Linked DNA regions of Rhinolophus ferrumequinum. The protein of the gene in region 3 purifies or fractionates together with the protein of the main gene of each other region. This does not show direct contact. Links are inferred from orthologs where the notes say so. Each region holds a gene or a part of one and is shown on either strand. Other genes may lie near its edges.

The links.
Region 1: the proteins of POLR3B (region 3) and POLR3H purify together in Homo sapiens (affinity purification with mass spectrometry; 8 studies listed by BioGRID and IntAct, with this or other methods). This does not show direct contact. The link is inferred for Rhinolophus ferrumequinum from reciprocal best matches to the Homo sapiens genes POLR3B and POLR3H.
Region 2: the proteins of POLR3B (region 3) and GPN1 purify together in Homo sapiens (affinity purification with mass spectrometry; 4 studies listed by BioGRID and IntAct, with this or other methods). This does not show direct contact. The link is inferred for Rhinolophus ferrumequinum from reciprocal best matches to the Homo sapiens genes POLR3B and GPN1.

Annotation. Positions count from the first base shown.
Region 1 is NC_046293.1:6,459,931-6,468,029, forward strand, and holds the start of POLR3H (DNA-directed RNA polymerase III subunit RPC8), read left to right. Parts: upstream 1-5,089; 5' UTR 5,090-5,171; intron 5,172-5,427; 5' UTR 5,428-5,447; coding exon 5,448-5,558; intron 5,559-8,099.
Region 2 is NC_046296.1:53,153,174-53,161,191, reverse strand, and holds the start of GPN1 (GPN-loop GTPase 1), read left to right. Parts: upstream 1-4,927; 5' UTR 4,928-4,985; coding exon 4,986-5,096; intron 5,097-6,127; coding exon 6,128-6,221; intron 6,222-7,826; coding exon 7,827-7,866; intron 7,867-8,018. Other genes in the region: CCDC121 (coiled-coil domain-containing protein 121), read right to left, coding at 2,560-3,451, 4,357-4,814. UniProt on the Homo sapiens protein: Small GTPase required for proper nuclear import of RNA polymerase II (RNAPII). May act at an RNAP assembly step prior to nuclear import.
Region 3 is NC_046293.1:14,150,269-14,157,554, reverse strand, and holds the start of POLR3B (DNA-directed RNA polymerase III subunit RPC2), read left to right. Parts: upstream 1-4,236; 5' UTR 4,237-4,417; coding exon 4,418-4,489; intron 4,490-7,286. UniProt on the Homo sapiens protein: Catalytic core component of RNA polymerase III (Pol III), a DNA-dependent RNA polymerase which synthesizes small non-coding RNAs using the four ribonucleoside triphosphates as substrates.

The DNA.
Region 1 (8,099 bases), about 7.7 Mb from region 3:
GTGCATTTCAAGAAACTTGAGGTCACTGATGTGGCTGGAGCAGGGAATGAGAAGGACAGGGACCACATCGTGTAGGGTTGGGGGGCCTGGCAGCATCTTAAATGAGATGGGGGGCACAACGTGCCCTGCCTTTAGTGTTGCTGGCAGCCTGGCAGCCTCGTCCAGGGTAATGATCAGTGTGGACAGGAGGAGGAAAGAGCATGGAGGGTTCCCCTTGCCTGGGCCCCGGGGCAGGAGCCTGCCCTCTGGCCATGGATGAGGGTCTCCTTGTGTTGTGGCTGCTTGGATCCCCTAAAGCCACTAAGAGGAGCTCTCTGTGATGGGGTGAGGGGGTCCCTGGCCCACAGCCAGCCTCTCCTATCCCCTACCCTCAGGACGTGAGACTGGAGCAGCCAGGCTGACCCCCAGCACATACAGGGCTGGGATGGGCTATGAGCCTGGCCTCCTTCAGCCGTCTGTCCACCCACACACACTCCTAAACATCCTGGGCCCTGGGTCTCCAGCCTTCTCAACACCTGGAGCTTACCTCCATCCTCACCTTCAGAGAGAGGCCATCGCTGGTCGTCCTGGCGACGGCAGCAGTCCCTGGTCATGTGTTACCATATTATCCATGTGATAGTTCCTGATGGTGCCTGAAATGATCTCCCAAATCTGTTTGTTTCCTGTTGGTCCCCCTCCCCTAGACGGGGCCTCATGCACTGTAGCCCCAACAAATACCTGTTGACTTTCTGCCCTTTGTTTTGGCTCAAGCCAGAATAGAGAGTGACATCCTGGGACCCTTCATTTAGGTCCCTTCTAGAATCACCGTTCGTAATGGCACTTCAGCTGTGCTTTTGCCTCTATCGAGGGGCATTTTAAAAGTGCCCAAATGAGAACAGTTCCCGGGCCTGTTCAGACACCGTCAAGGGCATCCTTCCATTCCTCAGAGGCCTCTTTCCTTGAGAACCTGGAGAAAAATCTTCTGAGAGCTCAGAATCAAGGAAATCTGGATGTACCCCGAACACCTGGTTAGTTTCCATATTGGAAATTAGAACGCTTAGAGCCAAATTCTTTTTCTACTACCATTAAGTTCACAGGACCACTCAGATCTCAGGGCAAATCTTTTCTTTTCATCCTCTCTTTTAATCATCCAAGAAATACTTATCCTGAGCTTATTGTGTGCCTGGACCTGGGGAATCACTTGACCTGGGGAATCAAGTGAACAGAACTGACGACACCCCTGTCTTCATGGCACTCACAGTCAAGAAGAGGGAGAGGCAATAAAGCAACCTAAGTAGCTATGTCATATGTCAGAAGGCAATAAATGCTAGGCCGCCCACATTTAGAGGTGGGGAGAGGAGTCTGTGAGGTGGGAGGAGAACCTGGGGAGCGTGGGCTCCTACAAGCCACAGGGAAACCGTGTGTGAAGGAGGAGGGAGTGAGCAGTGGGGACAAATGCTGCCCACGAGGACTGAGAATTACCACTGGACTGGAAACGTGGAGGAGGCCATTGTGACCTTGAGAAAGCAGTTTGCGTTGACAGGAGGGCCCCACACCTGACTGGAGCAGGTTGAAGAGAGGACAAGAGGATTTGGAAATAGCAAGCGCAGATGACTCCTTCAAGCAGTTTTGTTGGTAAAGGGAGCAAAATATGGGGCACGAGTTGGAGGAAAAGGGGGACGAAAGACGGTTTTTTAAAAAGGTGTGAAAACTCTGAATTGCTCTTTTAGTTTAAATTTTATTCATTTTGGAATAGGTAATATATTCCCATGATCCCAAACATCAAAGATTCCAAATTGTGTTTGGTTAAACATTCTTCCTTCTACCAGTGTCCCTCTCCCACCCCTCACCCTGGAGACAACCTCTCACAGAGCACGTACGTGCCCACAAACACACACACATACACACACACACACACACACACCAACACCATCCCCAACACACACACACATTATTTTTCTCCCTTTTTGACACAAATGGTAACATCCTATACACGCTGCTCTGTGCCTCGCATTTTGATACTTAACAAACATGTCCTGAATATCATTCTACATCAATACACAAAGAGCTTTCTTATTCTTTTTATGGCTTCATAGTATTCCCTTCTATGATATACTGTATATTTTTTAATCCAGTCTCCCACTGATGGACAATCATTTGAGTTCAGTTCTATTATTATCTCCATTTTACAGAGAGGCCGCTGAGGCACTGAGAGGTCCATCGGCTTCCTCATGGAGGCTCAGCCCCCGTGCTGTGGCGTGGGAACTCCAGGCGCTTCACCACACTTGACTCTCCACCTCCTCCTGGATTAGTTCCCTTATTTCTCCCTCACTCCTACACTCTTAGCAATTATTTTGCTATCCTTTTGTTCATGTGAATAACACATATTTACAAGCCCTGACCATTTGCCAAGCACAGGGCTAGGCCCAGAGGATGTGAAGGGATATGACAGAGAAGGAACTTGCAGACTAAATAAGTCTTTGTGTGTTTTTCTAAGCCACCTCCAATCTTTTATGGAATGACGCAGAGAATTAATGAAGTCTAGTCCCTGTTTTTAGTAATGAGGAAACCAAACGTGCCAACAAATCACTGTTGCAACCCTGTGAGCTGAACACCATTAGAAAAGCCTGGGAACCCCAAACACTGAGCTGTGCGATTCTGGCCCCCTCCCCCAGCCTGGCCCTCCTCCAGTTTCCCTTCTCTGTTAACGGTTTACCATCCAGCCAGTGGCTAAAGCCCTCATTGGCTCCTCTTACTTCCATGCCCAGGTCATCCACCCTATTGATGAGACCACCCGCAGAATCTTCTGGACTCTGCCCAACTTCGCTATCCAGGGCTACCAGACTTGCTAGGGGTCTTCTCTTACAGGGGTCACCCAATAACTTCCTCCCTGTCTTCTTCTCTCCACTCCAGCCCCTTCCCATCCACTGTCCATCTAGCCACGATGTGTCACTGTGCCATTTCTGGTTCTAACCTTCTAAGGCTTCCCTTGAGCTAATGTCCTGGCGGAACAGCCCAGAGACTGTGGGCTCTGGAGCTTGACTCCTACTTGAATCCCACTTACCAGCGACCAGCCGTGTGATCAGCTGTGTGATTTTTTTTTTCAGTTGTGGAGGGTGAAGCTCAGGTCCAGGTCCAGTTGCTGTTGCCAGTTGCAGGGGGGGCAGCCCACCATCCCTTGCGGGAGTTGAACCATCAACCTTGTGGTTGAGAGCACGTGCTCCAACCAACTGAGCCATCTGGCCACTTGACAGCTCAGCAGCAGCTCACTGAGCTCATTCTAGTTGTGGAGGGTGCAGCTCGCTGGCCCATGTGGGAATCGAACCGGCAGCCCTGTTGCCCAGAGTTTGCATTCTAACCAACTGAGCCACTCGTCCGCCCCCAGCTGTGTGATCTTGAATGATGTACTTAACTTCTCTGCCTTTGATAAGGCAAAATGAGATAATGAGATAAACGAGAATCATTTGATAATGAGATAAATTAGATAATGATAATGATAGCCCCTACCTTTTACAGCAGTTGTGAGAATTAAAAGTTAATGAATCTTATAATGATAAGGCCCTTGTGATTTCCTGAGACCATTAAATTCTTTTTCTCTCTGTCCTCCCTCCAACCCCTCTGAGCTGAAGTTGGCCCAGGAGCCCAGTTCTTCCCCACTGGATCTCCAACAGCTGGATACACAGTCTGTTGAATGAAAGAAAGAATGAGAAAGGCATTGCATTTGGGTTCTAATGGATGCATAGGAGTTTTCCAGGTAAAGAAATGATGGAGGCAGGGCTATTAAAGGGCTTGTTCCATCCTTGGGGCTGGAGGCTCCCAGTGCCTGGAGGACAGGAAGGAGGTGAGGCTGGAGAAGAAGACTGGGTTCAGTCCAGACCCTCTGTGTGGGCAAAGGATATCCATGAAGGGAAGGCTTTTGTGACAGAGTGGCTGTTGCTTGCAGGAGAGACTGAGGCCAGGGTATGTAGCTAAGCTCCAGGGGAGCAACGAAAAGGCCTGAACTAGGGCAGTAGCTGTGGGAATAGAATGAAGAGGAAGGATTTGAGAGATATTTGAGACAAAGAATTAATATAGTCTCCTACACACTTTTACTGAATATCTCCTAGGAAAGATGTTAGGGGATTGTGGGAATAAAGAGCAGAAGTAATATCTTCCCCTGTCTTCAAGTAGTTCAAATCTTAGGAGAGGCAGGCAGACCTATAAATAAAAATATGGTGCAGGGAAGGTCGAATTCAGTCTTATCACAGCCAGTCTCATAGAGAGAACGCTCTGTGTGTAAAATCAGCAAATTAAAGCACCGTGCATTTCTGAGTGACTCTGTCACCTACCCCAACACTTTTTTTAAGTTCTCAAATTTTTATTTGGTTAAAACATACTACAGTATATTTCCACAACCCACCAACTTTTAGAGGCAGTGTAGTGTAGAGGTTTAGACTTAGCAGCCCATGATTTTGGACGAGTTACGGAATTCTCTTAGCCCAAGCCCATCTTAGCTATCATGTGAAGATGAAGGAGACTGAAACGTGGGGGAGAGAGAATGTGGAGGAGTGGGTAGGGATGAGATACTGCAGGGCCTTGTGAGCTACCATAAAGGGTTTGGATTTTATTATTAGTCCAATGGGAAGCTACTGAGGTGGTTTTTTTGGTCCCAATTTTACCATTTTTCAAATGAGATGTAATCTGTCCACAACTAAATGCAAGTGTTGAGTTCCATGAGTTTTGACAACTGCGTACATCTGTGTAACCACCTCCTAAAAAAAGATACAGAACATTTCTATTACCCCAGAAAGATCCTGCCTGCCACTTTTCAGTGAATTCTCCCCATCTCCAGAGTACTGAAGGGTCTAAATACTATATTGTGTTTGCATCACTCTGGCTGCGAGGCAGAGGACGGCTTGAGACCCGTAAGGAGATTGTGGCACAGGTCAGGCGAGAGATGACTGGTTGCACCGAGGTCGCCTAGCAACCAGCAAGCGTTGTCTAAGGATTGATCTCTAAGGAAAGGGGAAGCACCGCCCCCTCCAGGCCCCGCCCCACCCCCTCCGCCAAGGAGTCTATAGGCTGCGCCACCCCACATCCGGGGGAGGTAAGAAGCTTCTTATTGGTCGGTTCTCCGGAAGCCACGGGATTCGGAATCTCGCCCAAAGTCGTGCGAGCTCCGGCTGCGTTTGCGTGCGCGGTGCGTGGCGGAGGCGCGTGGTGCGTGGCGCGTGGCGCGAGGGGGCTTGGCGCGCTCATTCACTGCTGAACCGAGGTCCCTCCCGCTGAGCCTCAGTTTTCTCCCTTTGCGGTAGTGGAGCATTCTCCGCACGGGGCACCCCGGGCCCTACTGCGCAGCTCCACTGCCAGCCTTCGAGGGGGTGTCTCAGCGATTGGGACTAAACAGAGGAAGCTCGGGGATCCCCACCGCTCCAGGCCCCGATGCATGACTGATCCTCCGGTTCCCAGAGCCTCCAGCGCAGGCCAAGATGTTCGTCTTGGTGGAGATGGTGGACACGGTGCGGATTCCCCCGTGGCAGTTTAAGAGGAAGCTCAACGACTCCATTGCCGAAGAGCTAAACAAGAAGTTGGCCAACAAGGTACTGGGCCCACGGGGTCGCGGGTAGGCCTTGGGACGGGAGGGCCCAGTACTGCCCACCCGCATGCTGCAGGGCTGGCCTTGGGCAAGTAGCTTATCTCAGAACACAGTTTCCTCACCTGTACTTGGTAATTCTTACTCCACAGGGATGTTGGAGGGAATCAAAAGAGAAACTGGGTTTGAAAAAGGCCCTTGTGACTGCGAGGCGCTAGATTCCACACTTCCAAATTACTTTGCAATCTTGGGCAAGTCATTTACCCCCTCTGGGCCCGTTCCCACTTGTAAAATGCAAATAATAGTTACTGTCAACCACACATGGTTTTTGTGAAGATGGATGGTCAGGAGGTTTATCCGTTTATTTCTGCAAAAAATAAATGTTCACCTTCTATGCCAGGCCTGCATGCCTTAGTGCCAACTCTCCAGAGGCCTTCCCACTGCCTTTCCTGTAGTAACCCTCCCGCCTCAGTTATTCTGTGTCATATCACACTTAGCCACACTCTATTTTCTTATTTGTTCACTGGGTTACTGTTTTTCTCTTTCCCTGTCCATGAGGGCAGGGACCTCTGCCTGTCTTCTTCCCCACAGTATCCCTCAGATGTAGCCAGAGCCCGGCACAGAGTAGATGTTCCGTAATCGTCTGTTGATTCATTGAATGAATGAAACAGACAAGGTTCAACAGATAGGAATGAGAGGGTCCCACAGATGAGTGTGATGAAGATTTGAGGTAAAGGCTATGAAGGACAGGCATTCACAAGCCTGTGGAATAAAGGAACTTCACCTACAACGAGGGGGACAAGAGGCTTTGAGCTTTGTTAGGGAGGTGGCATTTTTCTTGAGCTGAAATGGTGAGGAGGAGCCGACTTGGGGATTGGTTTTTCATGGTGGGAGGGGCTGGGCAGAGAGAAGAGCTGTGCAGGCAGTCCAAACCACCTATGGCAGGAGGGAATGTTGCACCTTCATGGCATGGAGTAGGCTGGCGTGGCCTGGGCAGGCTGAAAGGTGGTGGGGGCCAGGCCACACAGCCTGCAGGACTTCATGGGGTGTTTATTGGTCTTCATAGAACAGTAGGAGGTGTTAGGAGGGTGGGGAGGAGCCAGCAAGAGGAAGATTGGCTTTATTTTTTCCCCCTTCTTCCACCTCCCCCGCCCCCCAACTCCAGTTCAAGCTGTTGTTTCTCAGTCTAGTTGTGTAGGACACAGCTCCCTGGCCCGTGCTGGTGTGATGAGCCTTGCGCTCCACCCCTTCTCTGGTTGAGGCAGTCGGTCGCCGATCATGGGTCGTCGTAGGTGGGCCACTCATGGCAGCTCACGGCAGCTCTCGGCCGGCGGCAGCTCATGCCAACCTCTGGCTGCTCTTCATGCCAACCTCTGGCTGCTCACGGCAGCCCGGAGCCGCTATTCACGATCTTAGCTGTAGAGGGCGCAGCTCACTGGCCCATGTGGGAATCCAACCAGCGACCTTGGCATTTGGAGGGCGTTTGGAGCATGGTGTTCCAACCACCTGAGCCACCGGGCCAGCCCATTGATTGGTTGGCTTTAGACAGGAGGCAGTTTCCCTCCATAGAGGCTGAGGTCAGAAGGGGATGCGCAGATCTGGGGAGTTGGTGGTGGAGAGAACTCACGGAGTCCTTGGTGGATGGCTGCTGGTTACTTTGTGAAGTAGAAGGTGAGGGGGTCTGTAGGGAGATGTATGAACATCGTAGAGAGAGAAGGTGTGCAAAGTCCAAGAAAGGAATGTAGTCCCTTTTGTGGCACGGGTCCTTCAGTGACCTGTTAAGACAAGTCTTTCCATGTGCGAATCATTGAGTCATTTGAGAGGAGGCCACACAGAGAGGTCCACGGTCCGGCCAATGACATAGATCTTGTGCCGAACTTTGTCCCGTCTTGGTGAGGTGTGGCCAGGACTCGTAAGTTCTCTGAGCTTCTTGCTAATCCTTGAACAGTCCTGCCAGGTCTCAACTGGGAGGCGATGACGCTAGTGGCAGATTAGCAGACACCAAACAAGCAGCCAGTTGTTTGGAGCACTGTGGGGTGGGGATGGGGATGGGATGTTCTCTGCCTGTTCTCTGCCCAGTTGTGGGGCCTTGGCCATGTGTCACTGCCAGCCTCAGTCCACGTGGCCACGTCTGTGTGTCTGAGACTTTATGAGCAGAACAGAGATTAGCTGTAGTTCTGACACTGAGCTGTGCACTTTGGCCTGGACTTGGGGGACCTTGGGAAAGTGTAGAACCAGGGGTTCCCTTACCACTGAACCCTACTAGTAATAATTGTGATCCTTGATTATTATTATTTCTATCATGTGAGCCACGTACTGGGATAGAGGCTTCCCATCCAGTCTCTCTTTATTTCAATGCTGCAGCCTGGTGTATCCATTTTTGCAGGGAAACTGAGGCTCCGAGAGGTGACCTTAGAGGTCACGCAGTAGGTGGTGGAGCTGGCATTGTAACCTGGATCTGTCCTGTCACCAAAGGCCCTGTTTTCTCCAGAGCTCCACATCCTTCCAAGTTTCCTCGTCCGTGGTTACTTCAGGCAGTGCCCCAACT
Region 2 (8,018 bases), on a different chromosome or scaffold from region 3:
ATAGCTTTTAAATGTGGGCTTTTGTGAAGACCACTTTCAAATAAGGTGGCATTGAAACCTTATTTGGATATTGCCAAAATAGGTAATTTTGAAACAAGTGAAGGACATGGTGTGATTCATCCACTCTACATTTTCATTGGCATTTGTGCCCTTAGAGCCCTTTCAGTAGATAAGGATTGTCAGGGAGGAGAAGTGAAGAAGCTGTGTTAATTTCTGGTGAGTAAGACTTGGGAAATGTTTGGCAATGACAAAAGAAATAAACAACTCTGTTAGATTGATGTTTCCAGTTGTTCATTGACTCCGACCTGCTACTTGACTCCTTGCTGATACAGTGTATGGAGGTAAAAAGATGGCTAGGGATGGGAGTGAGTTTAAACTAAGTACCAAATGCAGTTGTCTCAGTCATTCCTTAGCTCCTGAAATCTGCTGGGTAAAATGAATAATTTGCGATTAAAGTGAATTAGTATAGGAAACTTGCCCAATGTCATCCAGGGTCCTTGCAGGCACTCATTTTTCTGATCAGGCCAGTGATCAGCAGGACTCAGTATAGACTCTCCTGATCATACTATTGAGTTTTTAAGTTTTTAAATTCATTAGAATAACAGAAACTTAAGTTTGACAGTATCAGGTACCGCTAGGTTTTGGAACAATGTGAACTCGAATGCATGGTTTGGAATGTTAATTCATACAGTCACTTGGGAAATGATTTGGTGGTAGCTCGCAAAATTGAAGATATGCCCAAAAACTCAGCAGTTTCACTTCTAGGTATATAATAGAGAAACTCCTCTTGCCCAGGTGTACCAGGCGACATAAACAAGAGTGATTACTGCAGTACAGTTTATAATAGATACTGGAAACAATGTGTAGTAGAGATTACTAGCTGTCCACCAAAATCTGCACTCAACTTGCAAAATTATAGGATTATAAGACAAATGGCTAGACCCCATTTCCCAGCCATTCACCGCAGGGAAGGGGAAGCCAACTCTCCAGTGGAACATGAGTGGAAGTGACATGTGTCACTTCCATGCTACAACTTTTAAGTGAGTGAGTGTACTTCCATGTTTGCTTTCCCTTTCCTTGGGTTAGATGCACGTGATGATGGGCTGTAGGGGATGGCAGAGCACAAAAAGGAAGAGAGTTAACTCCTTGAAGACTACTTCCGTGAAGAACTACTTGCCAACCAGGAACATCTATCAAACTATTAGATGAGCAAGAAATAAAAGTCTGTTATTTGAGACATTATGCATTCTCGGGTCTCTGTTAACCTACTCTAATGCATAACCTAATTGTCCATCATCGGGAGAAGGGATAAATTGTGACGTAGTCCTATAGTAGAACACTATACAGCTATGAAATTAACTAGAGCTTCTTGTATCATGAATATATCTCAAAAATAATGTCTGGGAAAAGCAAGTTACAGAATACATCAAGTGTACCATTTTTATAACATTTAAAAACACACGAAAATGCTCTACATTGTTTATGGATATATGTAAATATAAAAGTACAGTATATACAAATATTTATATTTAGTATATGTATTTTAATATATATAAACATAGTATGGAAACATGCACAGGAATGATAAACACCAAATTTAGTATAGTGCTGGCATCCAGAGGGACTACGAGTGAATTTGGAAGTTCTTATTTCTTAAGGTGTATAGTAAGTTTGTCATAGTTTTATATTTTTTTGTATGTCTGAAATATTTCATTTTCAAAATCAGTTAACAATCAAAAAAATATATTCTGCTTACCTCCTTCAAAGGGAAAAGTTTAGAACATTTTCTTCTGCTTCATCTTAACCTTTGATTTTTCCCTCACCCAATAGTCTGCTCCCCCCATGTCTTCACTTCTATTTCTACGATCCCAGTTGGAACCATCATCAACTCTTGCCTAGACTACAGTAGGAGCTTCTTAATTGTTTTTTTCTGCTTTTTACTGGCTTGGATTCACTCCACGTAAGAAGGTTGTAGTGAGTTTTTAAAACTGTAAATCAGACTTCATTCACGTGCTAAAAGCCTAATGGTTTCCCAGGGCACTTAGAATCTAAGTCACTCCCTTTCCTTGTTCTACAAGGCGCTTTGTGTTCCTACTGCTGACCTTTTAGCCTCATCTTCCTCTGCTCCACCCATGTTCTCTGATTATTATTCCCCAACAACATGTTAGCCACACTACCTTTCTGAACCTACCAAGCTCATTCCCATTTTAGGGCCTTTGTATTCACTCTTCCCTCTTCCTGGAATGATTTTTACCCCATTTGCATTGTATACTTCATTTTCTCATTCAAGTCTCAAACTGAAGTTTACGTCAGAGGTCTTTTCCACCTGAACACACTTTCTGTAACATCACCCTATTTAATTTCCTTCATAGCACAGCAGAAAGTAGACATCTTTATTAGCCAACCTTCACACTAAAACATCATGATGGCTATTTTACCATAGCAATGAGATCTAAAAGCCTTCCTAAGTTTATGCAGCACCTAAGAACACTTGCTCTAGTCCTTATTTAATCAGCGATATTTTAGGAATTACTGTGGGTTAATCCTTGATTTTGGTGCCTATGGGAGGGGTTCTTGTTTTTGGCGCATGCCTTGCAGTCGTTGCCTCCCCCGGATTAAGCCCTCCACATACCACTGTTCCTGCTGCAGCTGCCGCTTCTGAGTTTTGAACTGTCTTTGAGTAGTCTGCAACTTCTGGCATTGCCAGGTTTGCTGCAATAGTTCCTTCTGTAACTGCTGGTTCTCTCTGCGGACACTGCGGTACAACTCAAAAGTATAATTCTCTGCTGCCAACTCTAAGGCCTGGATCTTCCTGTTAAGCTTCTTTCCTTTTCTCTTTCCCAACTGCCTAACATCTGGCTCACTCAGTTGTTTCTCCAGTAATGCTTTTTCCTGGAGGTACTGGACCTGGATTTCCTGTTTCTTTCCAGTTGTCTCAGCTTGGACTTTTCTTTTCTCCTCCTCTAATGTCTGCATTGCTCTCTCCTGTTTCTCCTTTAATAGTGAAACGTCCCTCAATGCCTGCAACTGCTGGTTCAAATCAGATTGGATCTTGCCCTTCTGCAAGAGCTCTGTGTTAAGCTCTGATGTTTGTTTCGCATATTTGGAGGCTGATTCTTGTCTCCTTTGTTCAGTCTCCCCACTTCTTTGCAAATAGCTGTTCCACAGCTTCTCAAATTGCCTTCTATACCTCTCAGTTTTGTTGGTCAGGTATTCCAGAAAGAATTTATTTTCAGCCTGGACATGTAACTTTTCACTGAGTAGCTGCCAAGTTTCCTTCATTAGCGGTTCTTGCCAAATTTGAGCTTGTTTTATTTGCTTGTCCAGCGTCATCATTTCCACTGTCGTTTCTTTAAGCCCCATCAGTGCCATTGTTAGCTTCTCTGGCTCAAAAAAATTATTTATTAAACTAAGATACGGTGGAGGGGGACCACTGGAGTCCTCAACAAACCTGAAGGAAGAACAAGTGAGACATTCCCCCATCAGTTCTTCATTAAAATTTAGGAAATAAAAAATGCACAATTGTACTTTAATTCATACAAGAAAATATTTTGAGCACTTATTTAGTGACACTGCGAGGAGGCATGGGGTATGATATAGCTTGGGTAAAGATGAGGGAGTGTACTTTACAATTTACAATATGCATTCAGTACCGCCCTGTAATGTATCTCATTTTTATTATTAGTTTCAGGTGTACAAAACAATGTAATAGACATTTATACCCCTCACAAAGTGATAACCCCCACTCCCCCAATCTACTAGCCCTCTGACATCATATATAGCTGTTACAGTTCCATTGCCTCTATTCCTTATGCTGTACTCCACATCCTGTGACCATATATATATATATATATATATATATATATACACACACACACACACACACATATATATATATATAATTGATATTATTCAGCTTCAGATGTACACTGCAGTGGTCAGACACACCGTCCATGAAGCAGTCTCCCTAATAAGACAAGTGTCCGTGGGATACCCTATAAAATCTTTACAACATTATTGATTCTATTCCCCAACTGTCTTTTGTATCCTGGTGCCAATCTTGTGGTTATTGATTGTGCTTTCTAATCCCCTCACCTTCTCCCTCATCCCCACTTACCTCAATTTTAAAGGGAAAACAGGTTCAGGGAATTTATGACTTGGCCACGATTTACACCGCTAGCAAGTGGCAGAGCCAGCCAAGGTGTGAAACTTAGATCTATGACTTAGTTAACAACTACAAAGGGCCACCAGCACATACTCGGTGGTCGGGAGCAGGAACAAACGTCTCGGCTCTAGCACCACCTTTTCGGTTTCCCAGGACGCTTCCGTGGAGGGAAGCGCTCCTTTAGTACCTACTTGCGACTGGAATCCCAGCGTTTCTCCCCAAGGTCTAGCTGTAGTTCATTGAGGGTGACTGCCAAGGAGCTAGTGTCAGGGGACTGCGACACACGGATACAGCGTCCCGCTGAGGAAACTTTTCGCAATTTCTCGGTTCTGTGTTCAACGGGTCTGGGCGCTGCCCAGCAACCCCGTAGGTACCCAGTCCTGGCCGGTCCAGCCCTGGGCTGCTTAACTTCCGCCGAATAAACCTTAGCCTTCGTTTCTCGGTAGGCTGTGTTCCCCGCTCCTGGTGGGCGAAAAGTGAAACGCACTCTCTTTTTCGTAGTGTGGGGGTCCTGCCCTTGGGATCCTAGGTCCTCTTGTTTCCATGGGAACCAGAGCTTTGCCCTTCCCAGGCCCAATCCTAAGACCATGAGCTCCAATTTTTCTGGCCCACTCCAGTCCTCTTCCCACACTCTACACTTCCCCGCCATTGCCACTAGTTGACTCCCGAGCCAGGTCGGGACAGGAAGATGCTCTGGCGCTCGTTCGCTCTTCCCTTTCTGGCAGGTGCAGATCTACCCTCGTTCGCAGCCCAGAACATTGCGGAAGTCTCTCTAGCCACGCTGCGTCGCTATGGTAGAGGGGGCGGGGCCAGGGGAAAGATGGCGGCGTCCGCGGCTGCTGCTGCGCCGCAGGCTTCGGGGGGTCCTCGGCCCCCAGTGTGTTTGTTGGTGTTGGGAATGGCGGGATCTGGGAAAACCACTTTTGTACAGGTGACGTACACGGCGCGGGCGTAGTTGGTGTGCTTGAGGTTGTCTGTGGCGGGTGGGGGAATGGGAGGGAGGTCTCTGGGGTGTTGGAGGGGAGCAGCGCGTGGCTTTGGGGACTTGCCAGCATCTCCGGTTCCTTCCTGAGCGAAGCCTTCTCGACCTGAGCCTGGGTTAATTAACGCTCTCTTTTGTACACTATCGGTGCGTAGTACTTGGTACAACTTAAGTAGTTGTACTGGAATTGTTTTAGCGATAATATTGCCAACTCCTGGGAGGCAGAGGCTTACAAGTAAATAGTGATTAATACAGTGCTACCACCCAGACTTTCAGTGTAGATTTCTAAAGAATTACATATGTCTTGCATGCCTATTATATAATATTTTAGATGTGGATGAAAAGTAACTTCACAGGGTGATCTGATCATAAATTCCTAATGGGGCAGGTCGTGGTGAGTAGTGATGGCCCAGGCATATAACTGCTTTAGTAAAAGGTTTATCTTTGCCTTAAGCAAGCCCTGTCCATTGTTTTTGTGCATCTAGGTTGGTTAACAACACACCTTTGAAATGCCTCTTTTTCGAGAGAGCATGTAATCTTATTAACTATCCTGTAATCTGACACCCCGCCTTCTCCCACTTTTAGTTATTTAATCTTCTTTATGTTTACCTTCTTAATTCCAAATGCATAAAAGAAACTGTAAAACTGCCATTCTCAGGAGAATCTGAGATCTTGCTTCCTGGCAATTGTTGTCAAATAAACTCTTATAAATATTCTGTACGTGTTCAGTGAAAATGAGGTTGACAAGGTTCCTGCTTTCAGGAAACTACTGTTATACTGGGGGTGATAGAGAAAACCCCCACACAAAACAAGTAAATGATCAAGAGTAGGGGAGGCTCTGTTAAGTGGGTAATAAAGAAAGGTAGCATTTCAACAGAGTTCAACGTTGGAAGTGAATGTTTCAGATGGAAGGAAATGTCCTTTATCCCCTTATCATGCCCTCTTTGTCTCACTCAATCCCTCTCCCCATATTGCTGCAGAGGCTCACGGGACACCTGCATTGCCAAGGCTCTCCACCTTATGTGATCAACCTGGACCCGGCTGTGCATGAAGTTCCCTTTCCTGCCAATATTGGTAAGTAAACTGCCTCAGAATGGAAAGCCTCCAGCTTGCCAGTTTCAATGCTTTCATTTTTTCTAAACTACCGTGTTTCCCCAAAAATAAGACCTAGCTGGACCATCAGCTCTAATGCGTCTTTTGGAGCAAAAATTAATATAAGACCAGGTCTTATATAATATGATATAAGACGGGGTCTGATACGATACGATACGATACGATATACTGGGTCTTATATTAATTTTTGCTCTAAAAGATGCATTAGAGCTGATGGTCTGGCTAGGTCTTATTTTTGGGGAAACACGGTATCTACTCTCCTTTGCTTGGATTTGCTAGAATCCCTAAACAGGCTTCTCCCTTATTCACATTTTCTCTTTGTTTACTTCTTTCCCAAATGTATTTCCTTACCACTCAGCATTATTTCTCCCCTCTTTCTGACCCTAGGGTGTCAGGCTGTTGTTATTTGGGAAAATGAAGTGACAGGAAGTCAGTCCTCTCACTTCTAGGCCATAAACCCTTCAAAAGGCTTTGATACATACATATACCTTTTTAGTTTCTTTTCTTAAAGTTAGAGTATAAGGGTTTTTGTGTGGTAGTTCACTTACTGATTTGTAGGAACCTTGCTTCCACTCTCAAAGTTACATGGGAAAATGTGTGTATATATGCACATGTACATTGTTTTGGGGAAAGTTTCCCAATTATAAGACTTTAAGAGGAATCTGTGACTCTAAATAAGAATGGATGTGATTCAATGTCATGATTCTAGATAGGATCTAGGTTTCTTGATTTCTAGACTATCACTGTGTGCCAATCCTCTTCTTATTCTTCTTAAACCTATTAAGCTGCTTGTACCCCGCACAAACTAATAGAGGGCCTTGTATCAAGAAGCAGAGATTGTTTTGAGAAGAATTTGGGGAAAAATTGTTCATCTTACTCAAAGGATAGAATTCTAATTCTAATAGTTGATGGGATAGGTTTACAGACTGGTAGATGGGTTTAGTTAGATATTACTGGACAGATTCATTCTTTTTTTTAAAAATCATGTCTGCATTACCTTTGTTACCACTAAGGAATTAGTAAGAAATAAACGTTTTTTTCCTTGATTCAGCTCCCTTTTTCTATGCTTATGATCACTGACAAGGTATTTAAGTTGCATAAATCTTCTCCTGGTCTCTGACCGTCTCTACCATAACTTGAGAGCTCCTAGCCTAACATTCTTCCTGGGTTACCTGGCAGTTATCCTTTACGAGGGAGGAAACCAGTGTGAAGCTGGGGAAATTAGAAGACGATGCTGACAAGCGAATCCTAAGAGTCTAGTTTCAGTTTCTTGCTGGTAGAGAAGGTACAGGACACCTTTTGCCTTTCTATTCTTCTCTTCAAAATCTTGCTTCTTTTCAAAATCTTGCTTCTTTTGCTATCGTAATTCAATGATCTTAGCTTAAAAATTTAGGAAACAAATTTAAAAAGTAACTCAGATGCTGAGGGATAAACTTAATTTTTTTTCCTCAGAGGAAGCAGAGATGACTTGAGAGACCTATTGCTTAGAATATTATTGGTGGAAGGTCTCATGCTGTATTATTTCATATATGTTGAATTCCAGTTAATTCTTTCTTTCCCGTCCAGATATTCGTGACACTGTGAAGTATAAAGAAGTCATGAAACAGTATCCTTTTCTACATCTACTTTGGTATTGACTCATTTCTGGGTAGTTACCGTCTGTATATTTTGTGGCTTTGCAAGAGTGTTTTTTCATTTCCTTGTGAACTATACTAACAAAAGCATTTGAGTGCTTCAAAGTAATTTTATTAGGAGGAT
Region 3 (7,286 bases):
TCCTTTGGTAAAAGGACCAGACTGAGAGTCACAAGACTTGAGTTGGAATTCACTTCTACTACTTAATAGCTATATAAACTCAAGCCAGTATTTTAATCTCCCTGAACCCTCTAAATGGAGGTTTCCTACCCTACCTGCCTATTCTATTCCCTGCTTACCTGGCAGATACAGTGAGAATCAAACGAGATAATGTACTTGAAATTGCAAATTCTAAAGCATAGTGTAGCCAGAACACATGATAATAACTGTTAATTTATTAGTTCTAAATCTCTTTCAAGCTTCAAGGGTTTTAGTATTGTGAGACGTGATGATTAAGACTTAAGTGCAAAAGAACAAAAACTGTCGTATCTCATCAGAAGCATGGTCCATTAAGCCCAATATTGTCACTGACAGAGACACTCAAGGGTGTGTGGAAAGCTGCATCCAGAGGACAGCCACCTGGATGTCATCTTCAAAGGACAGTGACAAAACCAACAGGTTCTGATTTCCTTTAGTAATCCATTGTGACTTTATTCTCCATGATTTAACCTGATCTTTTAGAGACTATGTTTGTATAATCAACTTGTGTCCTCTTGTTCTCTATTTTTGCAGTGAAGTATTATCTTTTCATTTCTAAGCTTACTACTACGTTAGCCTCTTTCAGGTTTCAGAGAAAAGGGACCTCGGGGTTTAGTATAAGGCTTTATGGGGGGGGGGGGGGAAGGAAACCCAGGAATGTATCCCAGCAGCTGCACTTAGACTTGGTCAAGAATTTGAATGTAATTTTTTTTTCCAGAATAGAATCATAATAGCCACCAAGCACTTACCACATGGCAAGCACTACCGTTAAGCATCTAATATATATGATCTCACATAACTGCGAGATATGCTGTGAGGAAGGCTCTATCTTTTTTCCCACATGTGCAAAATGAGACCCAGAGAGGCTAAGGAAGTCATCCAAGGTCACAGAGCTGGTCAATGTACTTGAACCCAAGGAGTCAAACCCTGAAATGTGTGCCCTTAACCACTTGCTACATTGGTTCCTTAGGTCACCCAATGAAAAGTATTTCTCACGGTCGTGTTGCTACCGAATGCTGACTTGGTGTTTACTTGTCTGCTTCTGCTTCCTGCTGCTGCCCTCCCTTTTGGTTCATCTTAATTAAAAACGTCGCAGGAGAGAGAATACAATTGGGTTATTTGCCCCTGCTTGGTATGCATTCCTCCTCTCCCACTGTCCCTCCTTGGGTAGGGGTCTCATGACAAGCCACCTTGGCTTCCTTATATGGCTGTCTTTGGCCGATTCCTAGCCCTATGGCTTTTGGCAGGATGGTGATGTCACATGACACAAAGTAAGGCTTTCAGGGAAAAGCCTGTGGGCACGGCAGCTGCTAGAGGTTTTTGGACCACCCAGTCTTACTCAAAATGCAGAATGTTCTCTGACTACAGTGGAGACTTTTGTTTATGTTCCTCCTCACCTTCCTCTCTGTGAAATAACAGACTTCAAGGATTCCCTCTCTGCCCTTGCCTCGTCAGACTGAAGAGCCCTTATTCTTTCTCCAACATTGTTCTGGTCTTCTCTAGTTCTATTATCAATGGATTCAGGTATAGAAATCAGGACCGTACATATTTTTTCCCAGCCTGAATGCATGAAGGTTTTGAAGAGAGGATGATCTTTTTCTTTTGTTCCTAGTATCTTCGTGTTGAGCCTCTCATAATAAGGTGTAACTGTAACATGGCATAAAGGTCAATGATCAGCCCCAGTGGATTTTTATAGTGTCATCTACAGACACTTCCCTTGATAGCCCGACTGAAGCCCCACACTCAATTGCCAGAATGTGGGATTGTGTTATCTACAACCTTCATGCCATTGCTCAGGCATTTTTCTCTGCTTGAAATGCCTTCCACCACTTTTCTTTCAGTGTGGTATAATAATAGAGTGGGTAAAAGCATGGGCTCTGGCATCAGATAATTACGAATTTAAATTCCAACTCTGCTTGGCAAATTTCTTAACTCCTACTATGAGCCTTAGTCTCCTCATCTGTCAAGTGGGGATAATCATAGTTATCCATCATACTTATCCCCCTGGGGTTCATTATTAAACCAGAGAATACACATAAAGTATGATTCTAATGTCTGGCAAAGAGTACACTCAAGAAACTGACATTCTAATGTTTCAGGGCCCAGCTTGGACACCTCTGCTTTTTCTTGCCCTTTATACTCCTTTAACCATTGCTCCCTGTTCTCCTCTCCAACCCCAGTGGCATTGATCACTTTCTCATCTGGCTACCAAAACATTTTATACGTAAGTGATGGGATAGTAGTCCAAGATATCAATCATTTTTCCCTCTGCAATTTCCTTTCCCTATTCAAACCATCAGTCTCTTTGCACCCATAGCTCTGGAAAAAGATGTGACAGCAGAAGACAGAGAAATCAAGAGACTGTTCCTGGCTTTTTGGTTTTAAAAATCTAGCCCCTAAGGAGATCAGAAAGAATTCACTGATTTGACTTGGGGTTGCCAATGCCGTACCTCGGGGGCCAGGCAGGTGTAAGGAAGGTAGGATGGTGGCAGCTGCGATCTCAGCCACCACCACTCAGCATCAGCCAACCATTGATCGCCATGCAGGAACCTGGGACCACGGCTACCAACGTCCTCCTCTTTCCGAGAGAAACTAAAACAAAATTTAAAAATTAGGATTAAAACTGAAAGATAATACTGAGTTTGGTATCACTCATTGTATGCTTTTCTTTCAAATTATTTTTTCAACATGTTTATTCAATGGGTTAGGAGCTAGGACTACGAAGACAGACAAAACAGTCCCTGTTCCAGAAGCTCCCAGAAGCCAACCTTGAGATGTCTCCTATCAAAAAACTACGTCATGGCTCCTTTCAGGCTAGATTCTGAATAGGTTGCTCTCTGGTAATTCAGAAGGGTGATACAAAAGTGTACCTGTCTCTTTAAGTAAACTGTAAGATCTTAAAGAGCAGGAGTTGATTCTTCTCATTTCTCTTTCCTTTCTCCTCCTACTTTCAGACATCAGCACAACAGTGCAATATTTAGAAGATACAGGCAACTGAAGTTTACTTGCAGCAGCTAATTCAGAAATTAGACTAACCTGGTGCAAGGCCTATACATTCATGAGAAAATGACAAATGTGTATTTAACAAATTCCCATAATTTATTGCAGTAAAATATACCTAAGATTTACCATATTAACTATTTTTAAGTGTACCATTCAGTGGCCTTAAGTACATTCACACTGTTGTGTTATCATCACCACCATCCACCTCCAGAACTTTCGTATAGACCCAAACTGAAGCTCGTACCCATTAAACAACTGTTGGTATCTTTGGCCTTGTTTTTCCCAAAGGGATTTTCCGATTGATTTGTTTGAGTTCATTTTAAATTAGGGATACCAAGCTTTCGTCTTTTGCAACCTGTGTTTTTAAACAACTCTCTTCACGGTGATTAAAAAAAAAAAGTAATTTTCATGGAATCAAAGTACAGTGAGAATTGTATTATGAAATCTATGAATGCTTTACAATGTTGGTGTTGCCATCCTTGAAAGCCGTCATCTCCACAATGTTATGAATTGTTATGAATTCACTTACATTTTCTTCTCAAATTTTGTTAACATTTAAGTATATCATCCATACAGGATTCATTTAGATGTATTTTTTCTAAATGGCTAATCAGCTGTTCCAACATCATTTATTGGATAATTCATTTTTCTTCTACTGATTTAAAATGTCACCTTTTCATACTAAACTTCTCCACGTGCTGATATTTATTCCTGGATCTTACCTCTACTCCTTTTAGAATATAACACTGTCTTAATTATTGTCCTGTTATGCTCTACTCTCTAGTGAGTGAGTACCCCCTCACTTTATGGTTATTTTAATCTTTGAATAATGCAGGCACCATAATTTTTCAATATCACATGCAGGCACCATCATTTTTTTTACCCAAATCCCCTACTACTGGACATTTGGTAAGTTTCCTATTTTTCCATACTACACAACATGTAGTTTTGGACTGAATTACACGAATTCTCTGCCTCAGTGGCTCAAGTTGCGCAAGTCATCCGTTTACTCTTTTTTCTTAGATTTATTTTAAAAATTATAACCAATATGGTCTATTGGTCTCAATTACCGGATAATTGGAAATAAACCTGTCGGCTGGGGTTTAGGATTACCTGCGCGAGACCTCCGTGCGACACCAGGGGGCGCAATGTCCCAGTTTCGCCTCAGCTACATCCGGGTTCCACCGCAGGTTCGGGTCGGAAGCAGGCGGAACCTTTCTGTCGCGTGTTCAATTAACCTGCGCGGCGGGGACCACTTAGGCCTCCGCGCACCGCTCTCCTGGAGAGCTGCATTTCGCTTGAGGCAGCGAAGGCGGGCGTGGGGGTTTGGTTTGCTTCTTCCTTCTTCGTGAGCAGCATGGACATGCTTGCGGAGGAGTTTGGGAACTTGACCCCGGAGCATTTGGCTGCGCCGATCCCGACCGTAGAGGTGAGGGCCGGGTACGCGGGGAGCGGAAGGGGCCGGGATGCGTACCCTGGAGGCGGTGCCGCGAGAGCGTTCGCCCAGGAGCGGGGCGGGCCGCGGCTTCTGCGCATGCTCAGGCCCCCGCCACGCAGCTCCTTGCTCTCGCCGCCGCGTGCACGTGAAAGGCCGGATCTTTAACGATCTGTCAGCTGCCATGCGGGCCGAGCAGCCCCGCGGACGGCTCTCGGGTTGGACCCTTTCCAGTGTTCATGTTTGTCAGGGGAGAATTGGTCCTCACTTCCACCTTGGGGGACATATTGCATCTTCGCGGGCCCATAGAGGGCACTGAGGCTGGAGTTTAAGCCACTTTCATGAGATCCCACAGCTGGCTGTAGTGGTAAAACCAAATCGTCTCAATCCCAGGCTAGTCGTCCTTCCTTGTAACCTGGGATTCAAGTTTGGACTGCATGAGTATTTTAAACGTCCTGAATATTTACTCAACATCTTCCCTACGTGTTTTCCGGGACCTCGCTCCATAGCTTTCAACAGATTATCAGAAGTCAAGGTTAACTGCCCTACAGTGAGCTGCCTGAGGAAGTCCAGCGATTGATATAATTTTATTTTCTAGAAAGGCACATATTATAACCTCTCTGGGCCTCAGAATCTTCATCGGCATGGAAAGGGGGAACAAGAAATGAGGCTTGGAAAGAGCCAGGGGAGAGATTTCGGGTAGAGGGAACAGGGCGCTTGAAACCCGCTGGGCAAGACCATCTGATGTTTTTGAGGAAGTAAAATTAGGTAGTACTAGAGTGAAGAAGAGAGTGAAAGCAGAAGGATAGGTAAGGGTCCTGATTATGAAAGGTTTTGTTAGGCAATACTGGATTTTAACTCTGGAAGAGTTAAAAGCCAGCATTTACTGAGCACCTATTATGTGCCAGGCTCTGTGTCAGCCTGACATGCATTGCATTATTTAATTCTCTGAAATAAATACTATTTTCTCCACATTTTACCCATGAAAATTTTTGAGGCCCAGAGAGGTTAAGTAACCCAGTGTCAGAACGCAGGTAAGTGGCTGACTCCAGAGTTTTCATCCTTAACTGCTGACTGGACCGCTTCTCCAGCGCTGAAGGAAGAAGCCTAAAGGATTTCTGTTTCTTGCTTGAATTCGCACAGCTGTGAAGGGACTAAAACCACATTTCCGGCCTTCTGATTCAGGAATGACAGTTCGTCTTCCTGGCCCTCTGTACACCATCCACCATCCCATCTTAAGGGTCCTGCCTACTAACTGCACTCAAATCTGAAACTTCATTCCCCCTGTTCTTCAAGTCTGCATCACTGTCGTCTCTTACTTCCTAGGCTCCTAACCTGTCTCATTCTAATCTGTGCTCTGTGGCCAGAGCCATCAGTTTAAACACACACATCGGACCATGTTACTCCCTTGGTTAAACTTCTTCAAACTGCCCATTGCTCTTGGGGCAAAATCTAAAGTGTTTACTGTGTGTATAAGGCTTTCCTCAGTCTGGCCACTAATAACTTGTCCAGCTTCTCCCCCTCCCCTCCATCTGCCTCCCCCCAGATATTTCTATTCCTTTTGATCTTTTTTTCATTCCTCTTTGTAGATTTACATGCATTAAAATGCAGGAGTACTAAGTGGTCCGTTCCATCAATGTTGACAGTTACGTATTTCAAATCACCACCACCCAATACAAGATAATAGAACTTTTCCATCACCCCACAAAGTTCCCTTTTCTTCCATCCTCACCCCCCCCTTTTGATTTCTATCATCATAGATTAGTTTTGCCGGACTCCTTCCTTTTTTAATTAAGACTTAATTTTTTTTAGAGCTTTTTAGGTTCCCAGCAAAATTGAGAGGAAATTACAGAGATTTCCCACATGCTCCCTGCCTTCCACCTCCATTGTTTCTTGAAAAATGTTTTTACCTTTTGTAGGTTGTCTGCCTCCTTCCCTGGCCATTCCTTCCTAGTCTCCTTGGCTAGATCTGCCTTCTGCTCCTCACCTCTAAATGTGGGAGAGCTTTTGATCTCCCTTCATGGAACTCTTCTCCATCTGTACTCATAAAGTGGTCTTATTCATTACTTGGCTATAATTACCATCCATTTGCTGACTTCTCCCGAGTTTATATCTCCAAGCTACTCTCTTCACAAATTCAAGACTCATACTTGTTGTCTATTTGACATCCCCACCTGAATGTCGAATGGATATCTCAAACTTAGCATGCCCCCAGCCAAACTCCTGGTAGCCCCTCACACCTAAACCTGCTGGTCTGACAGCACCCCGCTTTCTCATATTTATAAATGGTATCTCTAACGTGTCGATCTTGACTCCGCTTTCTCTCAGAGTCTCTATCTAATCTATTATCAAGTCCTGTTGGCTTGAACTTCACATTGTGTCTCCTAGTTAACAATTTCTCACTACCTGTACTGTTACCAGCCTGGAGTATTGCAATAAGCTCCTAAGTGATCTCTCTGCTTCTAACCTTGTCTATTCTCAACGCAGTAGCTCAACCTTAAAATTTAAACTCAATTTTAAATCATCATGTCACTCTTTCACTCAGAACCTTCCAACGCTACTCAAGTCAGTCTAGTAAAAGTCAAAAATTTTATAGTTGCTGCACAGTCTTATGTGATTCTTAAGCTGTTATTCAGACACTGTGTATTCTTACTTTAGACTCAGCTCTACTCATTTGTCAGATTTCCCATTAGCAGATTAGATGCCATTCATTAAAAGAGTCTTATTATGGTAGGCTACTTAAAACCTCAGGAAAGTGTAAATAGCAGTCCTAAGAACACAAGCAGTGTGG